Arabidopsis thaliana: one gene and its partners. The protein of the gene in region 2 interacts with the protein of the main gene of each other region in a biochemical or structural test. Each region holds a gene or a part of one and is shown on either strand. Other genes may lie near its edges.

Region 1 (5,596 bases), on a different chromosome or scaffold from region 2:
ATTGGTAATATATGGGTTTTAGCCTCTTAACCTAATCATCGAATTAATCATTCAGGTTCTTTGAGTATCGAACTTCTCTGTTTTCTCAACTTGAAAGCAAAGCAAAATAACATTTTTAGTTGTATCGATTAGCTAATTTTGATTCTTTGGAAGTCTTACATTTCTGGTTGATTGCTATTAACGAATCTCTAATTTGGTCCTCCTCTAGTTGCAAAATTACATTTGTGTGTGTTTTGTGTCTTCAGCTTTTGAATTAAGAAGCTTCTAGGGTTTTATAGAGCTTTAGATTCTTTCCTTTAAATGCATTACCTTATAATAGAATTTGGTTTGTTTTATCAGTGTTTTGAGTAATTGGAATTGAAGGAAAGATGAGCAATGGTGGTTTGAGCATTGATGAGAAAGAAGGGTTGATAGACAAAGATGAAGTCATGATCCGTCGAATGAAGAACAGAGAAAGACAACGTAGGTATCGAGCCAGGAAACGGATGCGGGAAGAAGAAGCGGGTAACGATGATAATCTTTCGTTTGAGACAATGGGAAAACAAGAAGAAGAAGAAGAAGAAGACGAGGGACTAGAGTTTAATGGACCTAGTGGTTATGTTGAGAACTTTGTGCGGCGGGTTTATTGCGATAGAAATTGGAAAAAAGAAGCTAGAAGAGCTCATTTGATTATGAACAAGGCTCAAGATAGTTCTTGTGAGTCGGTTAAACGGAAGATAAGGCCGCATCGTCGAGATTGGAAAGCTGAAGCTAGAAAGAAGAAAACTTGATTCTTGAGGATTGGTCAGGTTGCTAGAGGATCTTGCGAGGTGATCGAGGAAGAGAATGCACAAACAAAGCAGATTTCAGATTCAATAATCTCTTCAAGATTTCTATTTTTGTAGATATTGGAAATGATCAAGACAAAAGCAAGTGATTTGCTTTTTCTTGTCTGTGACTCTGTCTGTGTATTCGAAGATCCATGTAGTATTATACTAAGGTTTATGTGTGTTGTGTCTTATTGATTAGACAAGAGGAAACATTATCACACTGACTTAAGAAAACTGTGCATATGGTCTCCCTCTCGACTTAACTTACTTAAGATTTGTCTCTCTTCCTAAGTTTGATGTGTTAGGAGAGACATTTTTGACCATATGTACAAAATCAGTGATCATGACCATTAGTCTCTTATTTTAGACCATTTATACTCGATTTCTTTTTCTTTTTTATCATATGAAATTGTGTAGAAATATTAACTTTTTCAGTAACTAACTCATATTACTCATATCAATATATACAAGTTTACTCATTGAGGAGATACAACAATAAAACGATACAGACTCAAACATAGAGCAAAAGAAGAAACTTGTCGCTCTATTTTAAGATTTTTTTCTTACAAAACTAAAATCTACAAAATTACTGAAGCCACTAAAACGAATTAATTATGATTTGACCCCATAACTTTCTAAACTTCCCAAAACACACCCTTTTAACCGATTTTTGAAATCAAACTTGCTCTGAGCTGTTCTTGCGTATAGATCCTAAAACCCATCTTCACCGTCGCTTGTTGAATCATCAAATCGTTAACCACCGACATACTCGCGTGATTCACTTCCAACTCCAAATCCATCAACGCCGACATCAACCTCGCCGCCGGATGATTCCTCTTACTAGATTCAACTCTAATCATTGCGTCCCAACCAATTATCTTCACTTCAATCTCCATCCCCACCGGTTTAATCGAAGAACACGAAGACGACATATCTCCTCCACTAGCACTCGCTTTTCTTCCGGCGAGCTCGAGTTTCACTTCCTCGAGCTGGTTCTTGATTTGGAGTTTCTCTGACTCTGTTTTGACTACTTTGGATTTAAGCTCGTTGATGTAAGCGATTGCGTCACCGAGTAACGAAGCTTTATCCATTTTTGAAACGTTTGGTACAACCGCTCGTAACGCGTAGAATCTTTGGTTTAGTTTCTCGCGTCTTTGTCTCTCTGCTTCGACGTGGTTTAGTGGCTCTTCTCTACCGTTTGCTGGCTTTCTTCCTCGTTTCTTTGGACGTTTCTCTACTGCTACTTCTTTCACGACGGAAGCTTCTAGATCGGAGTGATCTGATTCTCCGGCGGTTTTATCTCCGAATGATAGAACTTTATCTTCGTTCAAAACCATCGACCTCTTTCTTTTGTTTTCGAATTGTGTTTGACCCGAATAAGAACTTGGATCCGGGTTTCCGGAGCTTCGTTTACCTTCATCGCCGAAGTTTAATATCTCGCCGGATCTTGGTTTCACTAAAGTAGAACTTGACGTCGAAAAATTAAGTTCTCGGGAGAAAGTGTTATTGAATTTCGGATTCTGGGTCTGAGAATGAACCGGACTCGGAGTCGGATCCAGATTCGGGTTTTCGGTTATTGTGCTTGAGCTACCGTTCTCAAACTGAATAGACTTTGAAAAAAGCTGGGAGCTAGAACTTGGAGCTCCGTTACCCGGTTCGTTAGATCCAGGTGTTCCAATCGGGTCATTAATCCACATAGACGGGTCGTTCTCACCTTGATCCGGGTCAAGATTCCAATTAAGACCCGATAAATCTCCAGCTCCGCCGTCGAAATTGAAAAGAATTCGAACCTTGTTAATAAGGTCCGAACTCTGTCGGATCGGCTCCGTTGACCCGACTTCCACAACTCCGTTCGCCGAAGGAATACACGCAATAGTATGCATCCCAAACACTCCTCCTTGCTTAGCCCGTTCACAACCCGACCCGGATAATTGATCTGACCCGGAAACCCAAACCGCGTTACCCGTTGCAAACGCTTTACCAGCTAATCCCGCACCGCAAGCGAAGCTCTGCGTCATCGAAACCAAGAAAAACCATTCCGTATCCGTCACCTCCTCATCAACAGCGTCATCCGACGGAGCAACACCACCGGAGATCAACGAGTTAAGCTCTCTCAACACTTTTTTCCTGTACTCCTGATCCGCCGGAGTAGAAAACGGCGGCGAACTCGATCTCCGTCTCGGGTTTGCTTTATCTTCTTCACCTTTGTAATAACCATCTCCCCATCCGAGCACGGAGGCGCCGGAGAAATCATACGACGGTTGCCAGAATATAGCGTAGGTCCAACCTTCGTGTGTTCCTTCAATCAAAGCTTGTAAACGTTGCTGAAGAGTCTCTTGATTAAATCCCGCCTGTGCCGGAATCTCCATCGCCGGCGTCGGAGTTGTTTCAGTCGTCGCCGTCGTGGTTGTCGTCGACGCCGGAGGCCATAAAGTTGAGATATCGGAAGAGCTCATGAAAGCTTCCATCATAGAAGCGTTGTCGTCGGTGGTCCAAAGATTCATCGTTGGTTGTAGCCGGTAATCAGTCATTCCATAAACCGGTGACCGGTAAAAAAAAACACGTTTTTAATGAGAGAGAGAGAGATAGGAGAAAGTCTTCGTAGTGGAGAAAAATGGAGAGCGTCTGCGATTATTATATGTGTAACTGATCTTGAGGGTGAATGTGTAAATTTGTTGTTAGGGATATTACGTGGCGAGATTTCATTGGGAAACGTGGATGGTTGTAAGAGAGAGAGAAGCTTCGATGAACTCACATCCCGATTTAACCCCATCGACTGTTGGATCGACGCGGTAAGAATTAAGACCGGAAGTGAGTGAGATCGTACGGCTGTTTGGTCGCACGTGTATCACACGCTCTTTAATGATTGACTTAGATTTTAACTGATTGTTTCTTTTGTACCAAAGAGTGAACTGTGAGCTCAGTGGAAAAACACTTTACTATAACTTTTCACCTATTTTTTCGATTTATATTTGTCGTTTTGTCAACTTTTAGAATATATTTTTTATAACAGATTAATTACTTATTTTATAATGTTATTTTAAAATATTAAAAATCAAAATTTAAGATTTGTAATCTCAATTATCAAATACTGTGTCTTAGCTTAATTAATTTTGAGATTTGCATATCTATATAACGTGAGTCGTTGCTAATAATTCACTAAAGCAAAAATTTGTGTTTGTCTTAATATGTTAAATTGCAAGAGAGTGAAATGCAAGTGAGAATCTCTATCTCCAAAAACGATTCTTGTCTGCTTAACTAATTAATTTGTTGACGACTAAATAAACTAATAATTTATTAATTTGACCAAACGCTATTATTAGCATATGCTTTAAGAAAGGAAGAACTCCTTTATAATATTTTTAGTTACATTCACATTTCACGATAAACACATGCTAACAACGTTATATTGTTTGTTTAATTTACAATATTAAAATTTTATTTTTAAAGTTCGAACAATAATTCAAGGATTAGGTCATTAGGTGAGTATGAGTGAATAACATAAATCATTTGGCATCTTTTCCTCCATGCATAAATTTATCACAATAATTTAGCATGCCACCAATATGGTCCCATTACTCCTAACCCTTACCTAAAAACCAAAAATAAAACAAAAAGAATTAAGATAAAATAGTATATATATATATATATATATATACTTCTAAAATTCTATCTTGCGAAGACAAATTCTTACTAACAAAACACTAAACTTATGTTATTGTGTTCTTGTAGATTTACGTTGTCTTGTGATAAACTCAATGATATGTCTTTATACGTTCAGATTAATGATACTCCGGTTGATTTTTCTTATTAAAACCATATTAAACTAAAGAGTATTTTACCAACAATAAATAGTAAAATAATTTTGGGATCTAGTATACCATTTTTTGTAAATAACAACCAAAATAACTTTTGAATATAATTTTCTGAGACATCTGTATTGGGTGAACTCGTCAATGAACGATTCAACAAACAGAAAACAACCAAACCATTGTCTGGTGGTTGTGAGTCGACTTTTGAACATGTTTACTATAAGAAAATTATGAGAAGATGTTACACTAAGTTTTGGCTAGGTGATTCGTGATATCATATTTCATGTCGACTTTGGGGGTGACGCCACTAGAAAACAACAATATCCCACTAAGTAATGAATAATTAGTGGGATAAATATAGAGATTTCCCCCCTTACTTCGAGAAATGAGATAACAAAGATGACAGTTTTCTTGTTATGTTGTTATGTTGAGCTTAGAATGGGGATGATGGAGTGTTCTGACTTCTTAGAGAAAATGGTTGAAATTTTTTAAGTAGAGAGTCGGGTTGATTAAATGAAGATCTTACTATCACCTTGTTGAAAGAGAGGGACATTAGTCGGGATTCGGGAACAATGTGGAACGTAAGATATAAATTTCCCATATGTTATTTCCTAACTGCATGAAATAAAAATATATCTGTTACCTGATCCAAATTTGTATGTGACCAATTCGAGTTATTCTTAGATTTAGAGAAATAGAGAATCATCAATTGGTGTACACTTTCGATAGATCGTCGAACATGATATAATGATCTTGATTGATTTGGCATGCTCGAATAGCTTATACAATGTGTTACATATGTTAGGTTAATAAGTGACTAGGATGACCTTGTAGAAGCGCCTCAATCTATGTATCTTTTGTTGATTGAGTTCCTAAGTAGCAATAATTTATTCATAATTATAATAACATATGTTCATATATATACATATGTATATAAATTTACATACAATTTTGGATTCGCTTACTTTTTAGGAA
Region 2 (4,799 bases):
CAGATAGAAAGTGCAGAGATTCCAAGAGGAAGAAAAGCAAAAAGAGAAAGGTGCTTACATAACAACTGCATCGAGTTTAGTTTGAACATCTTCTATAATTCTGTTGGCTTGAAGCTTTTAGCTTACATTGTGTTTATTGATTTGCAGCATTCGAAAAGGCGATCATCAGACTCAAGCTCATCTTCTGAATCTTCAAGTAGTGACAAAGACGAATCTAGGAAGTCAAGGTCAAGTTCTAAGAGGCCAAAGAGGGAGAGGAAACACAAGTCTAGAGGCAGACACTCAAAACCAAAGTAAAGATGAGGCTGATGGTCCTGCACCACAATCAAAATTCTTTGGCAGTCTTAAGAGTTGACACAGTGCAAGACTTGAGATTGTGTTCATCAAATGCTCAATTTTCACCCCGAGGACATGATTTGTACTATCCTCATCTCCCTGCAATATTTCTCTCCCTGCTGTTTTATAAAACAAGAAAGCTGACAGTAATGGCAAGTATTTTGTAGAGGAATTGAAGGTGGGCTATCATAACATAACTATTTCTGAGACAATTTAAGTCTTAAATAACTGCAACAACAAAATGAGGGCAAATTACAAATACGAATAGGAAAAAAAAAAACAGAGAGAACAAATTATCCAAAAGACTGAAATATAAAGTTTGAGACCCATCCCCTTCAACATCTCTCACAAGTATACACAAAAGACAAACAATGATCTTTCCTCCTTTTAAGAATGTTGTCCAAACCAAATAACGCCAAACCCTTATCTCATCTTCATCTCCCAAATGCTGTTCTTCAAACTATTGCTGATATTCTGGATTGAAAGCAAGCGCCTCGCGGTAGATTAGTTCCTTCATCTGCTCCTCTGAGAGTGCATGGTTTTCAAAATCAAAGTTGAAAGGTATTGTACACTCTGGCTCATCGCTTATGTCGTGCAACGAGTTCAGGTATGGATGGGCCAATGCGTCTAAAACTGAATCAAGAATCGAGAATCAAGAATCAATAAGAGGTGATGACTACTAACTAACTCTTAAATAACCAAGAACTCATTATTATTATTCCTTCACTAGATTGAATCTTTTTTCGGGATTTTGGAATGATCCGTACAAGCAATTCCAGTTATTTTGCAAGTTAAAAATGGTATAGAGGTTAGGGACTAACCTGTGATTCTCCGTCTAGGATCAAATGTTAACATCTTCTCGATAAGGTCTATAGCTAAAGGATGCACTGTCGGGAACTTATCAGTGATGGATTGGCGAGGATAAGGTGGAAGCTGTCTTATGTATCGCTTTGCGTTTTCGTTCAAGAACTCGAGCTCTTCTTCTGATGGAGTTCCTATGAGCTGCAAAAAGAAAATGGTCTCGGTCTGTTTCTTTAGTGCTTCAAAGCTTATTTTTGGGTCAAAGAAGGGTTACTACTTACCTCCATGAGCAAGCGAAGCTGATGGACATGATCTCGTCCAGGGAAGAGTGGCTTACGGTCCATTAACTCCATGAAAATACAGCCTACAGACCAAACATCGATAGCTGCAGTATAATCAGAAGAGTTTAAGAGAAGCTCTGGTGCACGGTACCATCTCGTGACAACATATTCAGTCATGAAATCACTCTCAGAAGTGACTCGAGCTAGCCCAAAATCGCAGATTTTTAGGTCGCAGTTTGCGTTCAGGAGGAGATTACTTGGTTTCAAATCCCTGTGAAGCACATTTGCAGAGTGAATGTATTTCAATCCACGGAGGATCTGGTAAAGAAAATACTGCACAAAGAGACAAGTGAAATGGAGTTCAATTAGTCCCCGTTTTCAAGTCGAGTTATATAGGTCAACAAACAATCTCAAAACTCAAAACCTGGCAATGTTCTTCGGATAATGCTTGATTTGACCGAATGATTTGATGGAGATCAGTGTCCATTAACTCATACGCGATGTAAACATCGTTGAAAGCGTTTCTTAATGGTGGCGGGATAATATCTCTGATTGCAACAATCTGATTTAACAGAAAGATGGTAAGTGTTTTATCAATCGGAAATGTTTTACACGTTGCAAACGCCAACATAGATAAACGGTTACATTTTACGATTTGATTTCTAGAATTTAAAATCTTGACGCAGATGGAAAAGATCATACTACTGAATAAGCGCGAAACAATCCGTATCAAACCGAAAAAAATACAAGCACACTGTGTCAACATTCATGTATATTCCCTTAAATCTAAATGCAATAAGCAACCACCAGATACAACACATTCATACACAGAACCTAATCAGCCCATACAATATCAATCAAATATATACATCATCTATTTACCTAAACAATTTTGCATCAGCTAGTAGTTACCATGTTTCGAGTGTATTTAAATCTACAATCCTATTATGTTCTACATAAGACTCTATAAACAGATGACTCTTAGTTAACAAAGAAAGAGCAAAAACTGACATTTTCATGATCCATGTGACGAAGCAGCTTGATCTCACGGAGAGTCCTCTTAGCATCAATCTTATTGTCAAAAGCGTTAGCAATTTTCTTAATCGCAACGCTCTCGTTAGTTTCAGAATTCATAGCCGAACTGCAAAATCAAAATCAAATAAAACCACAAAAGGATAAAGCTTTCATTGAAACAAAAATAAATCCCAATCATAATTAGAGCTCAAAAACGATACAAAGGAATCAATTTTACAAATTGCGGATCAAAAGTAACCAACTTTACCAAAACCCAATCAACAAAAATCATTTTTTATTTCAATTAGAAGCAAAAGCCAAAAATCAAAAGAATCGGAGAAAAATTACCAAACGATGCCATAAGCACCCTTGCCAATAGGCATGATCGGAGGCTTATACTTAGCGGTGACCTCGAAGATGTTTCCAAATATGTTATACTGAATAAACCTACCACCATGGCTAAGAGTCGCCGGAATATTCTCAATCCCAGGCATCTGAGGCGATGGAGCCGCCGCGGGAAAACCTCCAGGAGCTTCTGTCATCTCTGTATCAGCCGCCGGTTGACCTGAACCACCGTCCATGACCGGTAAAGATGAAAGCTTTTGAGGTTGGTGGTGGTGGTGGATCGAGAAGAGGGAAATGGAAAATCTTTTTTTTTTTTTTTTTTTGTAATTTTGGGGTGAGTGAATTATGAATGAAATTGGAGAAATTGATATTCGTTGGTTTTGGGGTCAAAACAGATCTGAGAGACAAGAAGTGAAAGTCATGTGCGTACGGATCTATTAATTTTTTTATTTTTTTTTGGGTCTTCACTTGACCCGTGTGTGTAAGCAAGCAAGCAAGCCACTGTTCAAAGTTTGATCCTTTATTCTCATGTTTAACACTGTTATGGTTACAAACGGCATCGTTTTACATTGACTTATCACCATTTTTTTTTTTGTTCCATTGACTTCCTTCCTTAATCGTTATCATTAACAAGTAACAACAGCATTTTTTTGAATGTAAATGTTGGGTGAAAATGAATCATAGATAAATGTAGTTATTATCATTGATATTATGTTTTTGGGTTGTACTTTAATTTTGAGATTATTTTTGTAACATGAAAAATCGCTAAATTTTATGTAGATTGAAAAACACAAAAACTTATAAACCGCCAAAAGTTATTAGATAGTATCTAAATTAACTATTTAAGTATTTAAAGTTCTCTATCAAGAATTTCGATGAACTTGATAGTCGTATAGTGTGAATGAGGCCACAACATGAAACATGCTTGGTTGAGGGTTATTTGGATTTTTAAAAAGTATGGTGGTTCAATTTGATAATATTCCAAAATTACAAGGATCATCTCAATATTTTTTACATAATGAAGCAATAAATCTCTTCTCTTGTGTTATACAGTTGGGTTCGAACTCGAGACGGCTTGCTTTCTGCCTCTATCCCTCTTTCACACGAGAGCTCTTACTGGGTTTAGGGTTTTCGATAGATTGGTAAGTGGCCACGACACTAAGCGTCACCGAACCAGTTGTCAACTAAATAGGGAAACTTTAGGCTTCTGTCGCATTTAGGCACGATTCTCTGTAGAAGAAAAAAATATCAGCTTTGTTGTATCTTTCGGATTTTCGAGTGATCATCAAACCTTCATCACCAGGTTCCTTTCGATTCCATTTTAATTTTGTGGACTTTGGAGTAATTTGCTTAAAGAACCAATTTTTGATTGATATTTTCTGCTCTCCTTTCATTTTGACATTTTGATCTGGTTTTGAGAACTTTGGTTGAGTAACAGTAGCCTGCGTTTAAAAGATGTTAGCTTTGGATGTATAGATGTAGAGTTAGGTTTCTAATTGCCTTTATTTTTGCTTTGGTTGATGATTTATGGTTGATTGACTCGTTAAAGGGAAGTGCGCTGATTTTGTGGACAATTATGTTAGACTGATGGGCATGAATGTGACCAATTGATTTTCTCTCCGTTTCCATTATGATGCAGAAGAAAGTTCTATTTTGCTGAAATGTTTTGCAACTTTCAGTTGTTCATTCATACCATGATTGTACTCATCTTTGATCTCGTTGTGAGTACTATCACTTACTCTTGGCGTAGTAGTTCTTAGGATGAGGTATAAGTATAACAATTCGAAAATTCGTCGTATTCAATCTGTGTAATCTGTTTTTCACTATATGAACAATATGTCAATGTCCTGCGATGCCTCAGGGCTTCTGGAGTCACTTCTGCAATGTTAAAAAGAGTAATCAAAAGTTGTTATATCATGCTTCAGAGTTCTCTCTTGTTATTCCTCATCTTAGTATTTATGAAACTGTGATATTGAAGATATAACATAATCTAATACTTCTGATACTTGGGTCTCTTCTGTA
Region 3 (4,348 bases), on a different chromosome or scaffold from region 2:
GTGTGGGACCAAGCGGTTTTCAACGAGGAACTGTTTTATCCTTCACATCCTGAGTACACTGCGCTACATGCATCCAAGAGAGTCATGGATATGTATGAGTTTATGAACAGTAAGGTCCTTTTCAAGACTGTAAGAAAGAATCATGAACTGAAGAAGAAAGTGAAACCAGTGATTGTTCATGTGAATTACCATCCAGATAAGCTCAATAGAATGCAAGCCGTCGTTGAGTTCTACGTTAACGGTAAGCAAGACGCGCTTGATAGCTTCCCCGATGGTTCTGAATGATTCACCTGAAAAGCAGATAGGCTAAAAAAAACTTTCCGAGTTTCTTGACATTTGTGATTCTAATATATTTCTCCCTTTTCCAATGTTTACTGCTTCATGCCTTCTACTTTCCTCTTTGTATTATGAATTTTTGTGTATCTTATGGCTAAAATCGCAAGTCTTTTTTTTCTTTCTTAACCTCTCTGATCTTGTTATTACATCCCAAGTCTTTGTTTTAGCCTCACTTGTTTTTCTCTGTTTCATCATCCGATATATAATTTACATTTCAAGCCACTTAATCATGTAATATATTTGTAATGTTTTCAAGACCTAAAAGGAATGATAATAGAAACATACATCTTAAACATTCTATCTACAAATAATGCGTTGTGAAACAAACTCACTGGTACAATGAATATCGATTCTAGAACAAGAACCAAAACCATGAACTGAATGAACAACACACTAATTCTCATTCTCCAATCCTTCCTTCCGACATGACATAACAGGTTCATGTATACTTCATCTCAACTATGAGCTTTACCATTTCCAAGCGTGAGCTCTAGATCCTCCATAGCCACATCATGGATCCTCTCCCCTTCCCATGGCTTAACTTGGCTGTTCTCAAACTTAAACTCGGAGCTTTGACCAATCTCTTGGATTGCTGCTGTGTTTGGAGACAATTGCTGTGGTGCAGGTTTCACGAGATTGAAGGTAGGCGAGGTTGGCACCATAGAGGCAGAGAATGGCTGTTGTTGTGCAAACTTTTGAAAGCTTATCCAATGACCAGAATCAACAGTGGAAGAGTCAGACTCATCACATTCAGGTATAGTAGCCGGAGCATGGAACTGGCGATGATGAGTAGGACTGGCAGGTGCAGACACCGCATAAAACGGGTAGTTCAAAGAAGTCATTGACTGTTTAGCAGCCATGGACATGGATTGTTTGGTAAAAGATTCCCAAGTAGGCAATGGTTTGGGGTTTCTAGAAGTTGGGGATGACACTGGTGGAGTGACAGGAGCACTGTTTGAGATTCTAAGTGGAGGAAGCGATGAAGGAATACCACCATTCCTGAGGAAAGGGAAGATTGTGGAGATATTGTGTGGATCACCAACTCGAGAAGGACTCGGGAATGAAGAAGAGGAAGGACTGACTTGGTAAGATAAGATGGGGCTATCAAAAGTGGAAGAAAGAGGACTTTGGTTATGGGAAGAGTAAGGAGTTGCTCGAGAAGATGATCCAGCCATGTCACCAGGTAGAGGCTTGTGTCCCTGTTGCTCATAGAACAATACCAAAAACATCACAATGTCACAATCAATCAAAAGCTAAAGGAGAGATCTAAATATAGTAACCAAGTGAAAGTAAAGCTAATTCGGTTCTCAAATTAGTAAGAAGAACCCTAAAGGTCACTTTCTCCGCAAGGAATCTCGATCCAATTTTAGAATAAAACTGAGCTTCCTCAGCTAAAAACCTCGAATTCATAGCCAAGAAAATCCCAATTTGACCAATTTCAAATCCAAATCTTCAGATTCAACAGCTAAATCATCAGATAACATCAGATCTAAGTAAAAATGCGTTTGATACTGACCTTGCGATAAGTAGTTCCGTCTTCTTCAACAACCCAACCAGCTTCAGAACAAAGAGCCTTAAGAACCTCATTGTTGTCACAATGTTTTGGAAGATTGTAGTTACCTTGAGCTCTAAGACCAGTATAAATCTTCGCCGCAACAGCTCTTCTCCGCCGCTCTCTTCTCCGATTGTTCTCCCTCTCTCTCCACGACGGTTTCCTCCTCGTCGCCATCGCTGCTGCTGCAGCTGCAGCTGACGTCGACGTTGCTCCGTCAGACGTCATCTTCTTCCTTCAACTCTCAAAACAATCCAACCACGGTTAAAAATGGAAATGGGTATTTGGATTCAGCTGAAGAAGAAGAATGAGTGAGAAGTTAGTGCTCACGAGGAATACGCTTTTTTTTTTCTTTCTTCTTCGCTGGAATTATAGAAGAATCTTTTCATTCATTATTTAAAATAAAAAAGCAAAAAGAATTCACCGTTGATTTGAGTTAAACCAGCCACGTGTCGATGATGAATGGTGAGGATAGGTGGTGGTGTACGTAACTTACAGTGTGGTTTCGCGTTTTGAAGAAGAAGTACGTTTTATGTTGTGTTTCTCTAAATCTGTGTAAGAAAAGGAGCTGATTTTATAAAGAGGAGAAAAAGATAGAGAGACATGTGGGGCCATTGTAATGAAGTGGGTCCTACACGAGTATGACCGGAAAACACACCATCTGATTGGTTTATGAGGGGATCGGCCATGTTAAATAAGAAAACAAATTGTTTTGAGCCTCATAACATTTAATGATTAGATTAATTTGTCACTATAGTATATGGATAAAAATAAAATAGTGTTTCACTATAGTATGAATAGAAGAAAATGAGTGCTTACTTTTGTCCTGACTGTTTATGTATCATGTGTTTATTCTTTAATTTTATCACATTACAAAATTATTTAGTAGATTATTTGTGAAAACGAATATACGTAAAATGGAGTGATACATGGTTTAGATTAAAAGTTAACTAAATAAACCCTTTATGAAATAGTATGGTTTTTTAGCCTTTACTTTCTATCGTATACGAGGCAACAAACTATAAAGACTCAATACATATGAGGGGAGACACTACGTACAACTAGTAAAATACCAAACCGACGGATTATATAGATTTCCAAAGAGAACTCGAGTGGAGAAGCATGGACGTGTTTGGATGTATAATTGGTATATTCAATTGTACTTTCGTAATACTTATCAACATTTTGAACTAGAAGCTCCGATCTTAGTGACAACTTGCGTTTGATAACACATGCTGATATAGTGATTCACTACTACATTTGAGATGGATTGTGTATATCAACATGACGGATGGTCAAGTTTCCGAACCAAGTTGTCTGAAAGCGAAGTTTAAGTCCTAAATTAAGTATTTGACAGTGTAGTTTGTTCATTCTATACTCGTGATATGCATTTTGTTGCGATGGTTTTGGTTTATTATTTCTTCCACTTGATGTTTTTCTTGAATAGTGGATGGAAATCGTGATTTCACAAAACTGTGTGATTGATAAAACAAAACATTCTACATCATTCTACTACTTCAAAATTTACTAAAGAGAGTCGAAAATGGAAATGTGAGGATATTCACACAACATTATTAAGTCAAACTGGAAAGCTCTATATTTGGAAATATCGTTAATTTTGTTTTGTGATTTGTAAGCATATTGTTTGATTGCTATAACAATCAGAGCCTATAATTCGGAATTATTGTTGGGACCTGCTCTTCATTGGTCATGATGATTTTCTTTAATTCTCATGTTTTTTTTTTTTTGACAATTGTATAGTTCATTGAACACAAAAGGAAAACTGGATAGTGGATTTGCCCCACAAATAGACCCATCAAAGCAGATATGATCTTCCAACGAGTAGTCACTTATTGAATTTATATTTAACACGCTTTTGCCTTTATTTTATTCATATTTTGTTGAAAAAGAAAAAGAAATCTAGTGAATAGCAGAATAGTGATACTAATATAGTATGTAATCTTACTGTACTGATAATATATTTAAATTTTATCTGAAACATCATCTGTTTATGAAAGGAAAAGGAAAAAGCTTACTAAATTGATGGTACAGTTCTGAGACAAAATAATCTTTAGTAACACTATACTTTTTTCAGGCTTACTCTAGTGTTGTCTTCTTCAAACGATGTCGTTTGCGATGAACCGAACCTTCCACTTCTTTCCAAGGGTTCTCTCCTAACTGTCCCCAGCTTGAGAATGAGTCATAGAGAAAAACGATCATGAGGGCCCAAGCCAGCCTTTTTCTTGGTTACACCCTAGGGAATGCGCCCACTAAACTTTCAAAAAGTATCTCGAGTCCTGAAAGTGAAGCGGTTCGTTTCCCCAAGAGGTCCATCCGGCAGCCATTTCCCTCGCAAATAGCTCAAGGCACCGAGCAGGTTGAGACCCGGGAGTGTGTTTCAGTAGTATATCTACACAAAGTCCAAGTGGAAACAAACAAGAATCAGGGGAGCTTTAGACC

Evidence for each region. Proteins that work in one complex are often made in the same cells at the same time.
Region 1: of the proteins of MPK6 (region 2) and MYC2, one has a biochemical effect on the other in vitro, tested with the Arabidopsis thaliana proteins (2 studies listed by BioGRID, with this or other methods).
Region 3: the proteins of MPK6 (region 2) and BES1 form a complex in vitro, tested with the Arabidopsis thaliana proteins (one study listed by BioGRID).

Annotation. Positions count from the first base shown.
Region 1 is NC_003070.9:11,797,574-11,803,169, forward strand, and holds MYC2 (Basic helix-loop-helix (bHLH) DNA-binding family protein), read right to left. Parts: upstream 3,835-5,596; 5' UTR 3,341-3,834; coding exon 1,469-3,340; 3' UTR 771-1,468; downstream 1-770. Other genes in the region: AT1G32630 (FAM50A-like protein), read left to right, coding at 369-770.
Region 2 is NC_003071.7:18,136,691-18,141,489, reverse strand, and holds MPK6 (MAP kinase 6), read right to left. Parts: upstream 3,245-4,799; 5' UTR 3,014-3,244; coding exon 2,781-3,013; exon of another isoform or gene 2,560-2,780; coding exon 2,430-2,559; intron 1,981-2,429; coding exon 1,843-1,980; intron 1,752-1,842; coding exon 1,419-1,751; intron 1,339-1,418; coding exon 1,158-1,338; intron 970-1,157; coding exon 797-969; 3' UTR 502-796; downstream 1-501. Other genes in the region: AT2G43795 (corepressor), read left to right, coding at 1-50, 148-355; AT2G43780 (cytochrome oxidase assembly protein), read left to right, coding at 4,439-4,498. UniProt on the Arabidopsis thaliana protein: Mitogen-activated protein kinase (MAPK) which regulates abscisic acid (ABA) responses in a MAPKKK20-MKK5-MPK6 cascade involved in root growth (e.g. root cell division and elongation) and stomatal response.
Region 3 is NC_003070.9:6,686,609-6,690,956, reverse strand, and holds BES1 (Brassinosteroid signaling positive regulator (BZR1) family protein), read right to left. Parts: upstream 2,423-4,348; 5' UTR 2,278-2,422; coding exon 2,219-2,277; exon of another isoform or gene 2,124-2,218; coding exon 1,853-2,123; intron 1,536-1,852; coding exon 792-1,535; 3' UTR 546-791; downstream 1-545. Other genes in the region: RRA3 (Nucleotide-diphospho-sugar transferase family protein), read left to right, coding at 1-285; AT1G19340 (Methyltransferase MT-A70 family protein), read right to left, coding at 4,159-4,298. UniProt on the Arabidopsis thaliana protein: Positive regulator of brassinosteroid (BR) signaling. Transcription factor that activates target gene expression by binding specifically to the DNA sequence 5'-CANNTG-3'(E box) through its N-terminal domain.